Linked DNA regions of Neodiprion lecontei. The main gene of each other region encodes a partner of the protein of the gene in region 3 in a complex. Links are inferred from orthologs where the notes say so. Each region holds a gene or a part of one and is shown on either strand. Other genes may lie near its edges. The genes, in order: gamma-tubulin complex component 3, nucleoside diphosphate kinase 7 and gamma-tubulin complex component 4.

Region 1 (5,711 bases), on a different chromosome or scaffold from region 3:
TTTTCTGCTCTAAAGAGTGATACCAGTATTGGAAAAAAAGTCAAATAAGTCATTGAAAACTTGAGATTCGTGGAATAATCGGTTGAAGAAGAAGGTAGTACGAAACTTTCTTTAAAATAAATCTGAGAAAAGAGAATAAACTCTGACCTGTTCACCTCCTCCTGCATGATAGCAATAAATCTATAATATTCCGAGAGTTCCTGATGCAGGGCAGCAACAAAGCTGTCTGCGACTCGTCCAGAGCATGCAGCAGACATTCTTTCCAGCCCGCGGCTGACAATGTTGTGAAGATAGCCAAGCGCGCTGAGCCTCAAGACACCCTGTCTGTGCGTTCTGTTTAATTTTGCTTTCGGGTCTATTTGGAATCCATAGCTCGAATCGAGCTTCAAAACCTTTCCCTCTATCCCCTGGAATGAGTAAATAAGATCCTGGACCAGCAGATCTTCGGACACTGACTCCTCGTTGAATATTCTTGCGGGATGTAGAGATGGGCCGCGAACTATCGTCTCTGTGTAACTCAATGGAAGCATCTGTCCCTGAGAGCACGAGACCTGTGAGGTCTGACCTAATTCAAAACAGATGATATGCAATAAGCAGGGATAAATTTTCAGGAAGCCTTTACGTGACTCAGAAACAATTAATGAAAGAATTGATACTATTTTATGATATGGAAGACGAAAATAAGCTAATAAGAAACTCGAATCTGTAAAAAAAACAATGTATAAGACTAAACAAAGACAATGCGATTGAATGATTGTATTATGTTTGTTTATTCTGATTAATCGATTAATTAGTCTTTCCAATTCATTGTTTTTCAGTGAATCGAATAATCGGCCCGGTTTATTAATCATATTTCCGATTAATTGGTGTTTCCAACTCCATTTTGTCAGTTAATCGAGTTAATAATCCTTTTAATTAACTGCTTCTTTAATTAATCAATTAACCGGCATTTTCAATTATTCACTTTTTCAATGAATCGATTATTCGGCACTTTATTCTTCGTACGCTTGATTAATCGTTTTTGCGAGTAATTAATGATTAGATCTTGACAAATATTTATTTTTTCGGCTAATGGTTTGTTTGGCATTATCATTTAATCGTTTTTCCAGTCATTCGACTCTTTCAATTAATTGCTTTCATAATTAATCAATGAAATGCACAGCCCTAAACAAAGCATTAATTACAGTAGAAACTCTATTATCCAAACCATGATCACCTTAACTAAACCATCTATTGTCCGAATCTCAAGTCAAATTGGCATGGAATATATATACATATATCGTAACATATATGTGCATTACATATTTATTGAATATTTTCTAGAGCTGATCATCGCGTCACTTAACATTACTGTTCAACTATCCAAATTTTTGATTATCGGAACCAGGCCTGGTCCAAATTGGTTCGAATAATCGATGTTTTACTGTATAGACGTTTTTCTTTTAGGTTTGGTATCTTTAAGAAAAAATTTTCCTTTTTTTTTGACAAGTTCAGAGTCATTTTTCCCATACTATTCTTAATTGAAAATTCGTAACGAAGTTAGAAAGCAACTGAATTTCTTTTTTTTACAATATCATCAATTAGAAGTGGCTTGTTAATGCGTCCGGCATCAAATGCATGTTGTCACAAATGCATTATTTGCTGTGTTAATCAGTTTCATTTATGAAATAGCACAAAACAAAAATTCAGAAACTGGTACAAATTCTGAGTTTCTTTACGCACGGCTGGTAGATGCGACAGGTGATGTCAGACCAAGCCTCATATCGGGGAACGAAAAATGCCTGTCCTTAGTCTGATCAGCGGTTTGTCCCATGTAAAGCAGAAAAGTCAGGATGCTGAGCCTGTTCTTTAGTGGCTGAAAAAATAAGGTTATAATATCAAGAATTTAGTTGATATGAAAGCAAAATAAACTACAAACAAATCAAACGCACCCCGTCCTTAAGGTCGTTGTGGAGTTTGTCGAACTGAACGGCATCGCGAACTTCAAGTTTTCCCTTGATCTGTACGGCAACATTCATTTCATCTTCTCGGAGTGTTTCGGCACCTGGAGACGAAGAGAGGAGTCCCAATGCGAAACGCACAAAGCGTCTTATAGCCTCTGCAAGTATTTAAACATGCAATTTTTAGTCTAAATTGATTGATGATGCTCTCCTCCTTTCACCTCTGATATATGGATCCTTAACAGGCATGTTTTAATTTAACAATAGGATTGTAAATGATCCGAAAATGTTGTGACCCTGCATAGAGGTAAGAATAATAATATCTCAATTTTTCCTTATATCAAAAAACGTTCAAGTCCCCGCCGAAGTGCTTGCTTTCTGCATTTGTTTTCTGCGATGCCATGGCAACAGCAGGAAAGAAAGATGCATCTGCATGCGAAAAATTTGGGATAGCTGAAAACTACGCGGCTGTAAATTGACAGTAATTTCTGATTATTATCATCCTTGAAAAATAAATTACGGTAATTAAAATATTGGTATCAACAAAAACCATCAAAGGAAAAATAAATATAATATAAGAAAGTAGGAATTAAGGTTTTTTTAACTTCTCGACACAATAAATAACAAGCTACACAAATTAAATATCCAATCGAGATAATAATGGTAGGTGAACTTTATTTTCAATTGTGTAGTGAAAAGATTTTATGCTGAAAATAGGAGCAGAGTATTTCGGCACATTGAGCATAGGTTTTTTAAACGTTTATATGGTTTTCGAATCGATAGTCATTTTCATTCCAACAAACTTATTGCTGATCTTGTTCGTCAGATTGTAAAAGCTATGCGAAATCAAATCTTTGGTAGATACTTTGTAGGAATTAAAAATTGAAAACCTTCTTTGCTTCGTTTGTTATTTCATTTATTTAAATAACATTTAGAGTTAAAAATAATTCTAGGGATGAAACCTAATCTATGACTGTTTCTGATTGTAAATATAATTTTAGTAGAGTTAAAATATAGCAATTAATGTCCAAAAATTATCACAAATGACTGTAAATGATGAAATGAGAAGTAAAAAAATTCCAATCGTCAATGTTTCAAGGTTTTATAAGGTCGAATAACGTGTACAACCAAATCTGGAGATTCTAACAAAGCTGAAATACATATTCAACGGGATTAAACACTTGCATAACATGTCATTGTGCTTAAACACAGACGTAATAAACTCGTAAAAACGATTGTGGCGAGCGGTTAGCCCGGCCTTAAACCAACCTAAGCTAATTTAACGTAACCTAACCTGGTTTCTGATCTCCCCAAAGAGAAACGACAAGTTTTTGGATGAGATCACTGATCGTCTCAACGTCAGGAACGCTCATTTTTATACTCTGTAGTGCAACTGATGCACTTCTACCAGGCTACGGCTGTTATTAAGTTTCTAATAATCATGCACATTTGTTTCCCAGAGAGTGACCATAGAGTGAGTGACACACGGGTGACAGGTAAGCAATTAACTATTTACAGGCGAGAAGCTAGCTTTTGGGCAATGTTGCCAACTTCGATTAGTTAACGCTGCAAATCGATGGCTAATAATCGATGTTTTCAGTATTTATCGTGGTAATTACAGAGAGAAACCTGTAATTATACCATACCGCTAGCCATTACGTAAGCATTACGTAAGCTAGACACGGAATACTACTGGGAGGCCTACCAAGGCCGTGTTCGTAAATTGACTGCCAGTACTAAAAATTCCCTAGGACAGAGACAGAGCCATCCATGAACTCGGCAGCACAAAAGAGATAAAAGATTGCTAACAGTACTGTGAGTCAATTTTCGAACACGGCCTAAATCTAGTCAAAGTCATGAACTTTCCCTTTAGAAATGTCGAATTATGGGCGAATCACTACATTTTTCAGTGAAAACACTGATTCATGTTCAAACCGTCAAAATTTTTCCACCAAAAACCTTCAAAAACCACCAGATCCAATCAAACACCACCAAGTTGGCAATGCTGGTGACGTTTTCACATCTTCCAGTCCCTGCATCGATAAAGCAGCACGTATCCGAAAAACTAAGCCGAAGGCAGTTGTAACGTTACTGTTTTGTCTCTATTTGGCGGGAAATATTGCGCGCGAGCAACAAGAAATAGCGCGGGAAACGGCCGAGAGTAAATACGATCATCTTTTATTACCGAACCGGTACGCAAACGACAAACAGATTTTTTCCCGCCACGTGATTGCCAAAGAAATGAGCATAAACCGGTTAATCGACGTATGAGCAAAATTTGGCGGCAACATCACCTTTTCCGATTGGCCATCACGGTCACGTGCCGCATTGTGTTGGCAAATTGGCCAACCAGAGAAATGAGAAGCGGAGCCTCGATGACTGAGAATCAGCAATCCGAAACCGTTTGTTAACTTGTCGTCAGAAGGTGATCAAAAGTAAACGATAATGGAACCTGAGCATAAATTGCCTGTAATCACCATGCCACTCCAAGTTTCGCAGAAAGAGAATGTTTCCCGAAAACTGGAAAGTCTGCAAATCAAGGAAAATGTAAGTCTGAGTATTTGTAGTGTTAAAAATCATATTTATTCACTGTTTCAAACTCACGCTTAGCGCGGAGCTTGTCTCATTCAGCAGCCTTTTGCAGCTGCGCGTGACGCGCGATAAGTGTTTTAACGTGTGCATTAATGCCGCAATTCACACAGTCACACATGCACATCGTTTTAATTTCCTTACGCGAGTTGTGCTCTAACCGCAAACTGCGTCACGACCTCGAAACGCTTAAATTCGCCAAAACTGGCTCTCAGTCTCACTTTTCGCTTCGCATATTCTGCTTAGTGAAACATCGTCATGCTTACATCCGCAGCTAATTCCACGGCGAAATCTGTAATCCCAGTTCCCACAGTAATCGACGAAATTTATGTCTGTGCAAATGCCAACGAGGACCTCAGGTTATCGGCCACTTTCCTTCTATTCTTTGCTCTCTCTACTACAATTTTTTACTGCGCTGTGAAGCGCAACTTCTTCAGTGCCTCCACTCACCACAAATCGTCTCTTTTCGCCTCCTCTGGTCATCACGATTACTGCAATTATCCTGTCGTACGTATCTACAAATGTTGATGCGAGGGATTGTTGACTTGAGAAAGCCATGAATACATGTTAATTGAAGAAACTAAGCAATTATTCAAATATTTCTTGAAATTACAAGCAATCTGTCAACATAATTAAAATCGTCTTAGAACGACTTGAAATGTTATGAAATCACATGATAGCGCTGAAGAATTCATCCAGCAACAAGTTTTGCAAATCGTTGTAGGTCTTGCGGTAAACTACAAATTATTTCAATTCATTAAAATCAATGTCCAGTCTTTTTATTGATTTCTATTTTACCATGTGCTGATTTTTAATTATTTGTTGTGATTTCCCGTGATCTTGTTGAATCTCAAAATCATTGAGAATTGCTTGGTCAACTGGAAATAAGCCACAATCAGATATGGTAGAAATCAGAGATAATCAATTCAAATCAATCATTTGATTCCCAAGTGAAGCCACAAAATTAATTAAAAAAAAAAAAAAAACCAAAAACACAACAAACCAGATTGAGTGTCTGGTTTTTATTTCTACTAATATATAAAGTTGCTAAGATGATGATATTGCATTTTAATACTTAGAAGAAAATAAGTTGTCTTGATGGATCAAATTAATCGAATGAAAGAAATTGCCATATTTTATCCTGAAAATAAAGACAAGACGTGCAAAAGTATTTTTTGTCGT
Region 2 (5,741 bases), on a different chromosome or scaffold from region 3:
ACCGTATCGTCATTTTTTATTACCGACGAAATAACTGTACAAACAATTTTCATCGTGACGTAAGAGATAGATTTGAAAAGAATATAAATCAGGATGACCGGTGATAAAAATTCACAATTTTTGGGCATAAAAATAATTACCTCCCAGATAGAAAACGCGTATAGATAAAGTCTAGACGATTGTCTATAATACGTATATTATTCGTAATTCATGCATTTTATATTTCAGACGATCATTTATTGTTGGACTTTATCTACGCGTGTGTTCTATCTGGACTGTTGTAGATTATCTACCGTTTCGAGATGCGAATGCCTACAATGTAGAATTTCTTGGCAAGAAACGAAGGCTGAAAGTATAAAGAATAATTCTTATCTCGTGAAATTTCTCATTACCTCAGAAACGGTGGCTATAATATACAATGGCAATGCAGCTTGCGGCTGTTAAACATTATCACAATTGTTCGCGTTTTTTAAACCGCAGTATATTCTTTAACCGAATAATCTAACCGCCGTGTTACTTGCGAAAAATTGTATTATTATACGAAGTATATTTCCGCGCATCGTTCTGTTTCAGCGATTGTGTTATAATTGCCAATAATTATGTTAGGAAATTTGCAAATGAAAAATAGAGAGTCGCTGTTAATGAATATAGGAGATGATTGTGAGTGTAAAAAAATATTCTCATCCGGTAACGCCAGGATCATTTCTTTTTCTCCGTTTCTTTTCTTTCACATTTTTTATTTATTTTTTTTTATCCTCTTTTGCGACGAACGTATTCGAAACAAGCGAGGCTAATCACGAGTCCCTAATATACGTTTGGCAGATAGTTCAATAAATTTCATAAATAAACGCTGTACAGGTAATGCGAAATATTTACGGTTGTGTGGCCTCAATTTTGCACAGCGGCAAGGTAGGTAATTGAAATCGTTCAGCGAATAGTCCTAGTCATCAGTTTTTGCAGTGGCGTAATACAACATGATGCGTTCGTTCGCTCATTCGCGTGTTCCGTGTGTTCGAGTTGAATGTCTAATAACTTTACGTTCATTCGATCCTTCATTCGTCATCGACATCATCAACATCCGTTTCTTCCGTGCGAACGAATGAACGAAACCAAATCTTTACCGTATTTCGCACAGTTGCTGTAACATTGATTGATTTACCGATATGTATGCGTCGATCAATCGTGGCGTAACGAATGTTTGATCAGTTGAAATAAATGTGGTTTCACTTGATACACGAATCATTGTTTTGACTACTTTTTTGTTGAATTAAACAACATTTATTTAACTTGAAAAAATATTTCGTTTGTCATATTTGATCGCAATATCAGTTAAATTCAACAAATTCTTCTTATTTTCTGCGTGATACAGTGGAGGGACGGGTAAAAAAAAATTAGACAAATGATTTTTGATCGTAAATTCATGTCTATTTATTTTGAGTAGAAAAATATTTATGTACACGTATTATAACGAAGTTGTAATTTCCAATTTATGCAAGATTTGCGCGTGTAATAAAAGCGTTGAAATATCCTAGCTATCGGCCAGTATCTTGAAGAAATATTCAACCTGTAAAATAGAAAATATACACAGGAATCACAGTATGAAAGAAAGGATTTAATTTACTCAATTTACCTCCAGCAATCCATCCTCCGGCAAATCGGAACAGTGAACAGCATTTTGGACCTTGGTCTTTCCATACTTTGCTCTCAAGGTTTCCGGCCTCAATTGCCGCGCTATATCCTGAGAAATTAAAGTGAAAAGTCGCGCCAGTTTAGCGAATGAAATTTGACTGCCTCGCAAAATCAAGTATAAAACGTCAAGAGTAATAAATTCAAAAATAGTGGACATTGTTCTGGGAATAATTGAGCTGATTGATCAGACAAAGGGGGGAAAAAGAAGACTCACAGGATCCATGGGGCCACATAACTTCCTGAATTCCGTCGGAACATCCTTCTCACGGTGGCTGTGCGTTATCTCCATCGCAACGCAGGGTCCGGACTGCATTTCCGTGACCATTGCCTATTCGATGTAAACGGGATTGAATTATGTACTGTTCCGACAATTCTGAAGGTCATTATTATCGCAACGTTGAATGTTCTCACCCCATATTCGGGTAAAACTCCCTTATAGACCTCCAGAAATTCTTCGACGTTTGTGGGATCTACGTAAAACTGTTGCACAGCTGATATTGTGTATCCTGCCTTTTGTATATCGTCGATGATGTAACCTTCGTGTTGAGAATGTTATATTTTTAGTATGAAAATTTACTTGAATCGTCATTCGTCAAATAATTGTTATTTGATGTTCTTTATTTCCAGGAATCTGAATGCAAATACTTACCAATGAGGCGCGATTGAACGGCGTGCGGTTTTATCACACAGCAGGTGCAGTTCTTGAGCGTTGCGGTGTTCTTGATACTCCTGCTCCTGACCTTTTCATCAGGAAAGAAGTACCTCAATTCCTGTAAAGGTTTAAGTTCGGTTGACACGCTCTGAATTTCGCCGAGGAAAATTTGATCGAATTGTTCAACGTACTCTAGCTGCACTTTCCGAGGAATCTGACCCATGCACCGCATTGTAGACCTTGTCTTTGCCGTAACAAGCCCGAATAGTATTCTGAGCAGTTTCTCGAGCTTCCACGCTGTCCGTTGGTCCCATCAGCTCTCGCCATTTGTCAATTCCCTGTTCGCCGATAAGCTGGAGTGTCAAAATTGGACCTGACGTCATGTACTTCAGCAACATTCTGCAAAAACAGTGCGACATTGTCGGATTGAGGCCAAGGACCACCGAGTCGCAGACGCCTTGGTAAAAGAAATGGCGTTCAAAACTCACGGTAAGTCACTCTGTCCTCTATGTTTGTTATAAAATTCCTCAGCCTCGTCTCTGGTCATGTGAACCATTTTAACATTTCCTATGTGAAAGTTGTTCCTTGTTATCCGTTTCAATATTTCTCCCATTTTATCTATAGCATCCGGTTTGATTATCGCCAAAGTTCTGGAATGTTGAATTTACCTAGGCTCTAGCATTATATACAAACTCAAACGTCGAGATACCGATTTACCTTTCCATCTGATCGGCAAGTTTCGCCTTGGTCGCGCCATCTGCAAAATCCTTTATCTTGAGGCATCGTGAAAATATGTGTACCATCCCTCCGATGTAAAAATCTTTGGCAGTAATTCCTTGACATTTCGTTCGGCGTAGGAATACTTTCCTATTCTTAATATCGTACTGTGAAAACAGTAGAAAAGAAACTGATTTAATTGTTTGTCGTTCTTAGTATCATTCTTTACCTCTTGCCTTGTTGGGAATAGTATATCGATTACCGCGCTTACAATTTCTACCGTATTATCTGCAGGAAAGTAGTAGAGGAGAAACTTTTTCAGGAGCGACGCAACCGGGTCGAACCATTCGGCTTCAAAAGTATGTTTCTCGCTATAATCGGACGACATTTTCCTCTTACGTTCCTCCAAATTTACTTCACGCTACAGAGGCTAAAAAGATTTAGAATTGTTGTTTAATTGAGATGCGGCGCGATTATTCTTGGCCAATAACATGGTCAATGATTGGCACAGTGATCAGAAAAATTAAATTCTTGGTCATATTTCTTGAGTAAAAATCACAATAAGCGAATCGATTAAGTTGCAAACAAGAACTTACGGATACACTGAGAAATAGTTTGATGCGACTAATTTATTTAACAGTCGAAATATTTTCTATTCTCCTATCAGGTAACTGCAAAAACGAATAAATTTACGATCAGAGTACGACTTGCATGCGCTTGCACCACAGCTTACACTACTGACAGTTTCGTTTCCATGACAACTACGAATCTTGCTGGTCCTTTCATTCTCGGTACTGAATCTGTGTTCTACGATTTTTTCAGATGTGCCTAGATGCCGCTACTGTTGAAAAATATACGGATTGAGGAGCAAACCAAAGGGTTCCACGACTACACGAATGCATCTCACGTTGCCGGCAATCAGGCGCAGCACACACCGCGAATACTGCGGACGACTCTGCGGAAATATATTTTGTTTTTCAACACTATATTAATGAAATGTGAGATTCGTTGATTCTTGACTCAAAGTTGAGTTAATGTCTCAAACTCGATTGTGATACTATGTGTAATGATGCGTAAGAATTGATCATTGATTATGACACGTTGTTAAATGTAATGAATGTAGTACAGTGATTATGTTTACCTCGGAATTTGAAATTCGGATACTGAGAAAATGATACATTGTATTTACATGCTGAAATATATTTGCTTGTTCAGATTGTGTAATCAAAGTGAATTCATTGATAGTTACTATAAATACCTAATACTAGATATATCAATTTGATATAGATATTTGATATGGAGAAGGAGCGTAGGACCAAGAGGAGAGATATGGCGTGCAGAAAAAAAACCTGCTGAAAGATGTCGAAAACTCAGGTTCTCGTTTTTTGGCTGTAACTTTTGATGCGTCGATCGCAGCGTAGTGGGACTGCGCCCAATCGATTTTTCTCGCAAAATTACGTCGGAATAGTGCATAAACGAATTTATTCCAGCACTTTCTGAAATCGCGAGAATTTTCGCCAAAAATGCAAAGGGGTTAGCCTTACTTTTTTTTTTGGCAAAAAACTTTTGGTCTCAGATTCGATTTAGACGATCCTTATCCGACCAATTGGACCCTCAGGAACTCAGAAATCGCAGCGAAAATGGCGTAGGACCAACAGGAGAGAAATGGCGAGCGAAAAAGCACCTGCTGAAAAATGTCGAAAATTCAGGTTCTGGTTTTTTGGCTGTAACTTTTGATGCGTTGATCGCAGCGTATTGGGACTGCGCCCAATCGAATCCTCTCGCAAAATTACGTCCGATCAGTGCTACAATTACTTGATTCCTGCACTTTTCAAAATCGCGAAAATTTTTGCCAAAAATGGAAAGGGGTTAGCCTTACTTTTTTTTTAGACAAAAAACTTTTGGTCTCAGATTCGATTTAAACGATCCTTGTCCGACCAATTGGACCCTCAGGAACTCAGAAATCGCAGCGAAAATGGCGTAGGACCAACAGGAGAGAAATGGCGAGCGAAAAAGCACCTGCTGAAAAATGTCGAAAATTCAGGTTCTGGTTTTTTGGCTGTCACTTTTGATGCGTTGATCGCAGCGTATTAGGACAGCGCCCAATCGATTTCTCTCGCAAAATTACGTCCGATCAGTGCTACAATTAATTGATTCCAGCACTTTTCAAAATCGCGAAAATTTTTGCCAAAAATGGAAAGGGGTTAGCCTTACTTTTTTTTTTGACAAAAAACTTTTGGTCTCAGATTCGATTTAAACGATCCTTGTCCGACCAATTGGACCCTCAGGAACTCAGAAATCGCAGCGAAAAGAGCGTAGGACCAACAGGAGAGAAATGGCGAGCAAAAAAGCACCTGCTGAAAAATGTCGAAAATTCAGGTTCTGGTTTTTTAAATGTAACTTTTAATGCGTTGATCGCAGCGTATTGGGACAGCGCCCAATCGATTTCTCTAGCAAAATTACGTCCGATCAGTGCTACAATTACTTGATTCCAGCACTTTTTAAAATCGCGAAAATTTTCGCCAAAAATGGAAAGGGGTTAGCCTTACTTTTTTTTTTGGCAAAAAACTTTTGGTCTCAGATTTGATTCAAACGATCCCTATCCGACCAATTCCACCCTCAGGAACTCAGAAATCGCAGCGAAAAGAGCGTAGGACCCGCAGGAGAGAAATGGCGACCGAAA
Region 3 (7,756 bases):
TGGATTAAGATTCAGGAACAAACAAATAAACATGTTCCTACTCCTTACAGAGTCAATGGATATCTTAGAAGTGACATAGTTAATGTAACTCTGACTTACCTTGTATAATAGTTACGGGAATGCATGTTTTGATCGATTTGAGGCTCACCGTTGTCGCCACCTTGACCATACAGCTGATGTGCGGCAAGTTGATCTTGCCTGTGACACAGATTTTTATTGTACTGACAATATGAGTGAAAGAAAGAACTATGTGTATTTATTAATAAATCAGCAAAGTATCACCGTTTCAAACTGGTTCCATTCATTTTATTAGAACATGGCTGTTTAATTATGAACTGTGACAGCTGTTACACGTTTGATGTAATCCTTAAGTATTATTGTTCTGACAGATATCTAGCCAAAGGGAATGAAAATTGGTATAAATATTGGCTTACTGTATGGTTCTATAAAGGTCGCGAATTTTTAGCTGCACAGGATGGGATCGAAGGCGTAATAGTTCCAAAGCTCGTGTTTGAAGTTCGTTTTTTCGACCTGATTTGTTTCGCCCAGCAAAACCCAAAAGCATCTGAAGTTCAGATACTCGAAAACTTAATACCATACTCTGAAATAGACAATTGACATTTTTATAGCCATAATAGCCCAAGATAATTATAGACAAACTGAGACTTCACAGAATGAGAAAATGTCTTTAATGATAACAACATTAGGCAATAACGACAAATTCTTCCTGCTAGAAAATCGTACCGTTTCTGTCTAGCTATATTCTCAAATGTTATTACACTCTATAGTACTAGTCGGAAAAATATATAATCAAATATGACAATTTTTCCCAACCTGCCATATACGAAGTGCACAAAAGTAAACTCTTGTGCCCAAAGTAGATAGATGGGGAGGCAATTCCAAAAAATTTTGTAGAGTAAAATATGTTGATTATTTGAATAGCGTGATGCATAAGCTAGAGATAGAGGTTACCCATTGTAGTTATCAGTTGCTCCTACTTGCCGTCTCGTATCCGCATTCCTGTGTTATGCTTGAGATACACGAGAAGTTTCCGAATTGAATGAAGATACGTTTACGAAAATATGGAAGTTGGAAATTGGACGAATGTGAAGAAAAGCGAAAAGCCGCGTGTGAAAATAAATGTCGCTTAGTATGATCAAACGCAGCCTTGCTTGCGTTGGCAAGACATTGGAAGAGTTTGGATATGTGAATGTTCGATAATTGGTGAAAAATAAGACACGGAAAAATCAATGACTCAAGTTTCTGGAAGGCATTTAACATGTGGCTCGTTTAAGTCAAGATAATAAGATCTATTTTATTCTCGTCCTACCTTCAGTTCTTCCGTATCCGCCATCTTCCTCGACGATTTTTTTTGCGAAGCCGTCTTGTCTGCTGTGCTTCCCACCACTTGAAGAAAATTCCCGTTCGTTTCCCGCGTTGTACGCCGAAATTTTTATTTTCGCTGTAATATGCTGAGCACTTTTATGTCCAGCGTCACAGAAGACTGATCACTCCTTATCTTAATTGTTATTGTATTTTGGAAAAGCTTTTAGTGGCCTTTGACGATCACAATACGTCTGGGTTCATGGAATTATTCAAGTTTCCTTCAAGTTAAGACTTGGAAGTGAAATTTAAACAATTATTTGAAATTGTTCGGAATAGACTGCGTACTGGCTGCGTTTACTCCGAAAATTTATCTTTTTCCAAGGCTATGCTCCAAAATTAGTTGACAGTACTGTCAGCAATCTTTTATCTTTGTTGTATTTCAAGTTTGACCACCAGTTCTGTTTCTAGTTAATGAATTATCAACGGTCGCAGCTCATTTCGGAACACACCCTTCTATATGGGTAGCCATAGACCGCTAGCCAATGTCCACGTGCGCCATCTGTGTAATTTTCATGCAACAGGGCTATGAGAACGACTGTAAAACATTATAGAAAAGATTTTTCTCTGATATAAAGATGTATATTATATTATATATGCACACAAAAAAATCAATTTGATAACTGTAGAATATCTGTCAACGGTAGAGGATTATTCTTATTGTAGGGCAATAATTCACGCGCATTCTGAACGTTGCTATAACTAGTTAGAACGGAACAATCATGTAAGAGTCAAGAACATTAAAATCTTACCTACGACATGCCTACGACTAAACCGGAAGTTTTACAAACTTGAAGATTCCTGGTATTTCGGAACATTCAATTTCGTTCCTTCAATTTTTGACTAAAGATATTCGAAACTGCTAGCCTTATGGACTGCTGAAGGGCGAGGGGGAACGTTACAATATTCTGCTACGCCGACTTGATCTTGCATTAGGATCCCGCGGATTGGGATGAGACGAGTCAGTTGTTAAGTGCAGGGTAGTGGAATTACACCCAAACCTGCCCAGTAGAGCTGGCAAATTACTATCAAAAATAACGCAGGGCTAGCTGGCAGTCTCCAACAGTGTCCATCGTTTCACAAATTGTTACCGAGAAGTTGTTATAATGTTTACAAATATTGTTTTTGCATTGGCAGATTAATTGGAATTGTCTATGGCATAGCAATTTTCGAATTGCGGTTTGCATTGCAGACTGTAGCAAACAAGTGTGCTTTGATTTCCACAGATACACCAAAGGTTAATGAGAAATTTGAGAGAAAATCAAAAAATTCAATAAATATCTACCTCCCGCTGATTTTAACTAATTTCTCGAGAAGTTTCTTCCCTTAAATGCCGATACACGCATGCAAACACGGTCGTGCAATTGACGATGCACTTGAACTCGGAAGTGGATGCGTTTACACCAATGATTCAGACGTGTTCTCAAATCAAATTTAATCAGACTTCAATGCTCGAACAGCTCCAAACAACCTGGACTGGGTAGACGGATCTTATTGTTAAATGTGTTTTTGAAGCGAAAGAAATGCTGCACGAAGTTTTATTGTCTCTTTGGGGTTGCACGACTAATGTCGTACAAATTATAGACACTGATGTAAGAACTGCATCGTTTATGGAGTTGACAGTTGTCAAGATATAACCTCCAAAATCTGACAAACTATGTTTACAGTTTTTAGAAACCGAAAAGCTTCTACACCCTGGAGAGCAAGCTTTGATTAAAAAAATTCTAGGCATTGCGGAGGAATGTAATGCAGTGAGAAATTTTATAAATGCCCATACGTCTGTTATTGGTGCTCCGAATGACGCAACTGGTACAATATATTACCAAATAACATTCACATTAAAAGTAAACTAGCAAGATTTGTTCATGCAAAATATCTGAATTACACACTATCAACATTTCTTCAAGAATTTTCACTAACCCACAATTGACAAATTTAAAACATCTTCGACTATATCAAGGTTAATGCTTTATAACTGTCTGATTGCAATACGATTGACATGATGCTATTTTGCTTACACAGGAAATTTGAAATGGGGCCTTTATCTGCAGGCCTTATGTGACGGTATGGAACAAGCAATACAGCCGTTTCGCGAAGATGTTATCGAATTGGAAAAAATCGTGCTGAATGACGCGTACACGCCATTGACCTTCATACTATCACGAATACAAAAATATCTCTGTTTATTCTCAGTTCTGAATTCCATAATAAGTGAGGTACACATATCTCTGAATTGTTGACTCATATTTGCGTTTTGTTTTAGTTAAAACAAAAATTGGTCGGAATTATATACTTTAAAATCACTTGTTATCAATCAGGAATATAGATGAAAGGTCAAAGTAAAGAAACATTATGTGTGATACATGTACTGTTTTAGATTCGAACCCAAAAAGTTCATGGCTGTAAAGTATTACAATACTTGCATCAACACATGCACACTGGGGTACCTGAAGTGCGGCAGGCTTTAGAAAAGTATGTGAGCTCAAAGATTCTTCTATTTTTATAAAATTAAAAATGACTCATATTATCGATCAATTTGATATACTTTCAGGATGATGTATTGCTGTCATGTCGTGTTTTATAAACAACTATCCAGTTGGCTCTTATACGGAATTCTGGAAGATGTTCATAACGAATTTTTTATTCAAAGAGCATCTAAACCACAGGATAGTTTGGTTCTAGCTAAGAGTAAAGACAGTTCTGGTATAGCAGATGAAAAATCATCAAAAAATTTATGTGCAGACATGTGGGATTACGAAATAAAAATCCATGTACTGCCATCTTATATAAGGCCATCATTAGCGCTTAAAATATTGACCATTGGTCAAACTATTATCATGTTTGGAAATGATCCCAGACAAAAGAAAGGTATACTTTTAGTGTTATTGTGCTTGAATCACTAAACCTATCATCCACTGCAACAGATGTGTATTAAACTGATTTGTTTTTACATACAATTCTATTAAAAATATTTGGAGTTTTCTAAATTTTCGAAATAGATGAAATAGAGAAATTTTTTCTAAAACGAATTAACACTTTAATTTCCAGATCTGAGTATATTCACAAAGGCTGAAAACTCAATATGGGGTGCAAAAGAGTACGAGCATTTTCACGAGTTACAAAATTTGAAAAATAAAAGAACTTTTGATATAATTGAATTTGAAAGAACTGTTGATGAACTCAAACAGTGTGTCACTGAACACTTATGGAGAGTTGCGGTTGAAGAAGCACAGCTTATGCATCAAATTAAACTGATAAAAGACTTTTTTTTACTCGGTCGTGGTGAATTGTTCCTTGAATTTATTAGATTAGCAGGTCACATATTAAATAAAAAACCGACTAGTCATACCACCAGGGATATAAATTTATCATTCCAAATAGCTGCACGGAAAATGCTCCTACATGATGAGAGCACAACGGAAAGTTTTGACTTTCTTGTTCCTGTCCCAGAGATTGAAAATGAAGTTGGTGAAGATCCAGAAGATGGTGAATTTTCAAGAAGAGAACGCGAAGACCCCATTGGTAAATAAACCATTCCCATTAATATTGCTGAATCATGACTAATGTCAACATTTTGCATGAATTGACCATGAAATTTTTAATTGCAGACACAAGAGGATGGGGACTGATTCAGCTTCAGTACAAAGTAGTCTGGCCATTACATTTGTTGTTCAGTCCAATGGCGTTGTGCGATTACAATACATTATTTCGATTTTTGTTGAGAGTAAAAAAAACACAAATTAATTTACAAAATCTATGGTCCGAACATATGCGAACAAAAAATGTGTAAGTTCATTTATTTATTGTTAGTAGTGAGAATGAATTGACCGACCACACCAGTATTTACTTCATGTCGCGAAAAAATTAAACACATATTGGCATTACTTCAAAAGTAGGAATTTCGAATCTCTTGTAAATACGTAACTAACTTTTAATGTATTTCCAAACAGTGATATTGGAGTGATGCAGTTGAGAAACAACTTGATGTTTGTTATCAACAACTTACAGTATTATTTACAAGTAGATGTACTAGAAAGTCAGTACACAATTATGGAAAATACTATGAAAAATACGCGCAACTTTGAGGAGATTCAAAAAGGACATTCTGTATTTCTAGCCAACATTATGTCACAAACTTTTCTGTTCCAAGGTTCCAGTGATAAAGTCAACCCAGTAAGTTTCTTTCCAAATTATTCACTTCTTTTCGAGTTACATATTTTAAATATCACAGTACATTTCGATGTAGCACATATGTTTGCAACTAATCAGCATCAGTTAAACTAGGATCAGATATATTTATACTCTTGTACAAACAACTAAATTTTTTAGGTCAACAAGTTGATAAAAATATTGTTACGGCTGTGCGACGATTTCATACTGCAAGCACCCATGTGGGAATTGGGTAATTTACTAGTAACTGAAAAAGAAGAACTCAAAGCATTAGCCGACACTTTAAATAGTCTTATGGATTGGCTAACAAAAACTTTGAACAAAGTACGGGCGCAACCAGCAGGGACACATTTGGCACAGCTATTACTGCGACTTGATTTCAATAGATGGTTCAGTGGAAAATCTTGAATAGTTTCAGCAAACTTGTTCATATTGAACAAAAATGATGACCAAAATTTTTTTATATAATGCACAAGGCAAGTTGGTTAATTGTTTTGAGTTACCACGATTTGCTCTGCACAGGTATTTACTAATAGCAAAGCATGCATAGTAATAATTTCGAGTACGTCGAGTTACTCAAGTGTGAAATTACTGAACTCAGCTGCAAGTTGTATTGTAAATTATTTTGCATGGTACAGAAACATGAAGTGAATCTTATTTTGTTTTGTAAGCAAATGGCATGACATTAATTAGAGTAAGTACGATTACGGTATTGTTAGTGGGTAAGCAATGCTTGATTCTCTAACATATTGTTGAATATATCTTGAATAATACTCAGTCTTTTCCTAATCACTTATTTACTTCATTGTTAGTTATGAGAATGAATTTACCTATTATATCAGTATTTATTAAACTCTCCAAAATTAAATACATATCGGCAATACTTTCACAGCTTACGGATGAAATTCGAAAACAGATGTATTATATCTAAACTATAAATTAATAAAAACGTTATTTCTTGATAAAATTTTCAACGTAATGACTCATTTCTAATTTTAACATTGTAAAATTTCAAAATACACTATACTAAAGAATTCATTAATACCCTGGTAGAAGTACTCTGTTGAGATCCTCGATGTAAAATACGTACTTGAAGCTACAATAATAATAGTATTTTCGAGCTCACATTCGGAATGGTATGTGTGTTATTATGCAGGCTGAACTTTTCACAGTTAAACTTACATTGTATCACTTTTGTCTTACAATGAACACAGAATTCCTTTTTTTTTTCCTGTAATATGTTCAATGAAGAGACAGCTCATAAGAGAATTAACGTACATCAGGAAAGGTTACTTATTAGCACTCCTTTATGAGTGCTCCTTTCTTCATTAATCACTCTCATCTTCATAGTCATTATCATCGTAACAATGATTAGCAGAATATTCCCTGTAACTCATTTGTATAGTATTTATAACTGCTGCGTTGCTAGCCAGTTCTTCTGGTATTAAATTATCACTGTTCTTAAGACTAGCATCAGCTCCAGCTTCCAGCAACATCTCTACAACTTCTAAATGTCCATGGTTTGCTGCTGCATGTAATGGTGTATCTCCCATTTTATTCTGGAATAGACCAATTCACTATTTATTTCTATAATCTTTTGATACATATTTTCATTATTCTAAGTCTTATACCTGTGCATCGACTGCAGGATTAGGCAGACTCAAGAGCTCTTTAACACAATCGATATGGCCTGCTCTAGAGGCCCAATATAATGGAACATTTCCGGCAGAGTCTAAGCCAGTACCTGAGACTCCACCTTTCAAGCATTCTCTTAAGAATGATATATTGCCACGTCTTGCAGCTTCATGGAGTGGTAACTCGACTTCTTGTGTTTGTTCTTCAACTGGGAGTAATTAAATACAAATTTAATATATCATACAATGACAAAGTCTTATATTGTTCAACATAATCAAAATACTATACAAACCATAATTGGCTGGTATTAGCCCTTCGCGATTATTACACTTGGCCTTCCACCAATTTGGATCCGTGTCTTGGTCGTAGACATAGAGTACCTCATCTTCTTCAAATGACAGCTCATCTGGCTGCAAAGTAAGGAAAAACTTACCAAGTTGTAAAGGTAAAAAAAATAGTAACAAATTTAGGTTATTACTACTTACACGTAGCGCAGTATATTTGTACAGTGCTCTGACGACTTTCACCTTGCCTTAAAAGAGGGAAGAGATTAATTGTAACAAATAAA

Evidence for each region.
Region 1: the proteins of gamma-tubulin complex component 4 (region 3) and gamma-tubulin complex component 3 are in contact, whole or in part, in a cryo-EM structure (PDB 7QJ0), measured with the Homo sapiens proteins. The link is inferred for Neodiprion lecontei from reciprocal best matches to the Homo sapiens genes TUBGCP4 and TUBGCP3. Residues at the interface, in NP_001273343.1 of Homo sapiens: His35, Pro36, Ser37, Glu38, Ser40, Val41, Arg44, His116, Leu117, Ser118, Ser120, His121, Tyr124, Phe125, Asp127, Gln128, Leu131, Pro134, Lys159, His160, Cys162, Gly163, Gly164, Leu165, Pro166, Arg169, Leu630, Ser631; in NP_006313.1 of Homo sapiens: Arg252, Asp253, Tyr256, Gln259, Ile261, Asp262, Lys264, Arg305, Ser312, Leu313, Arg315, Leu319, Gln322, Ser323, Cys325, Ala326, His329, Arg333, Tyr336, Arg337, Ser340, His343, Ser344, His424, Pro425, Tyr593, His595.
Region 2: gamma-tubulin complex component 4 (region 3) and nucleoside diphosphate kinase 7 share a complex: the UniProt entries of both Homo sapiens proteins name them as parts of the gamma-tubulin ring complex. The link is inferred for Neodiprion lecontei from reciprocal best matches to the Homo sapiens genes TUBGCP4 and NME7.

Annotation. Positions count from the first base shown.
Region 1 is NC_060264.1:20,999,593-21,005,303, forward strand, and holds the start of gamma-tubulin complex component 3, read right to left. Parts: upstream 3,442-5,711; 5' UTR 3,314-3,441; coding exon 3,235-3,313; intron 2,099-3,234; coding exon 1,932-2,098; intron 1,857-1,931; exon of another isoform or gene 1,856-1,856; coding exon 1,723-1,855; intron 566-1,722; coding exon 148-565; intron 1-147. Other genes in the region: ribonucleoside-diphosphate reductase subunit M2, read left to right, coding at 4,788-5,036. UniProt on the Homo sapiens protein: Component of the gamma-tubulin ring complex (gTuRC) which mediates microtubule nucleation.
Region 2 is NC_060262.1:3,443,210-3,448,950, forward strand, and holds nucleoside diphosphate kinase 7, read right to left. Parts: upstream 3,860-5,741; 5' UTR 3,655-3,859; intron 3,489-3,654; 5' UTR 3,447-3,488; coding exon 3,330-3,446; intron 3,226-3,329; coding exon 3,059-3,225; intron 2,992-3,058; coding exon 2,830-2,991; exon of another isoform or gene 2,741-2,829; coding exon 2,533-2,740; exon of another isoform or gene 2,460-2,532; coding exon 2,339-2,459; exon of another isoform or gene 2,317-2,338; intron 2,226-2,316; coding exon 2,101-2,225; intron 2,069-2,100; exon of another isoform or gene 2,018-2,068; coding exon 1,904-2,017; intron 1,739-1,903; coding exon 1,631-1,738; intron 1,565-1,630; coding exon 1,529-1,564; 3' UTR 1,393-1,528; downstream 1-1,392. UniProt on the Homo sapiens protein: Possesses an intrinsic kinase activity. Displays 3'-5' exonuclease activity with a preference for single-stranded DNA. Does not seem to have nucleoside diphosphate kinase activity.
Region 3 is NC_060260.1:32,567,193-32,574,948, reverse strand, and holds gamma-tubulin complex component 4, read left to right. Parts: upstream 1-2,200; 5' UTR 2,201-2,906; coding exon 2,907-2,975; intron 2,976-3,050; coding exon 3,051-3,192; intron 3,193-3,405; coding exon 3,406-3,599; intron 3,600-3,760; coding exon 3,761-3,855; intron 3,856-3,934; coding exon 3,935-4,251; intron 4,252-4,431; coding exon 4,432-4,905; intron 4,906-4,991; coding exon 4,992-5,169; intron 5,170-5,333; coding exon 5,334-5,556; intron 5,557-5,712; coding exon 5,713-5,961; 3' UTR 5,962-6,556; downstream 6,557-7,756. Other genes in the region: E3 SUMO-protein ligase PIAS2, read right to left, coding at 100-198, 435-601, 1,003-1,281; osteoclast-stimulating factor 1, read right to left, coding at 6,882-7,112, 7,185-7,396, 7,481-7,598, 7,674-7,720. UniProt on the Homo sapiens protein: Component of the gamma-tubulin ring complex (gTuRC) which mediates microtubule nucleation.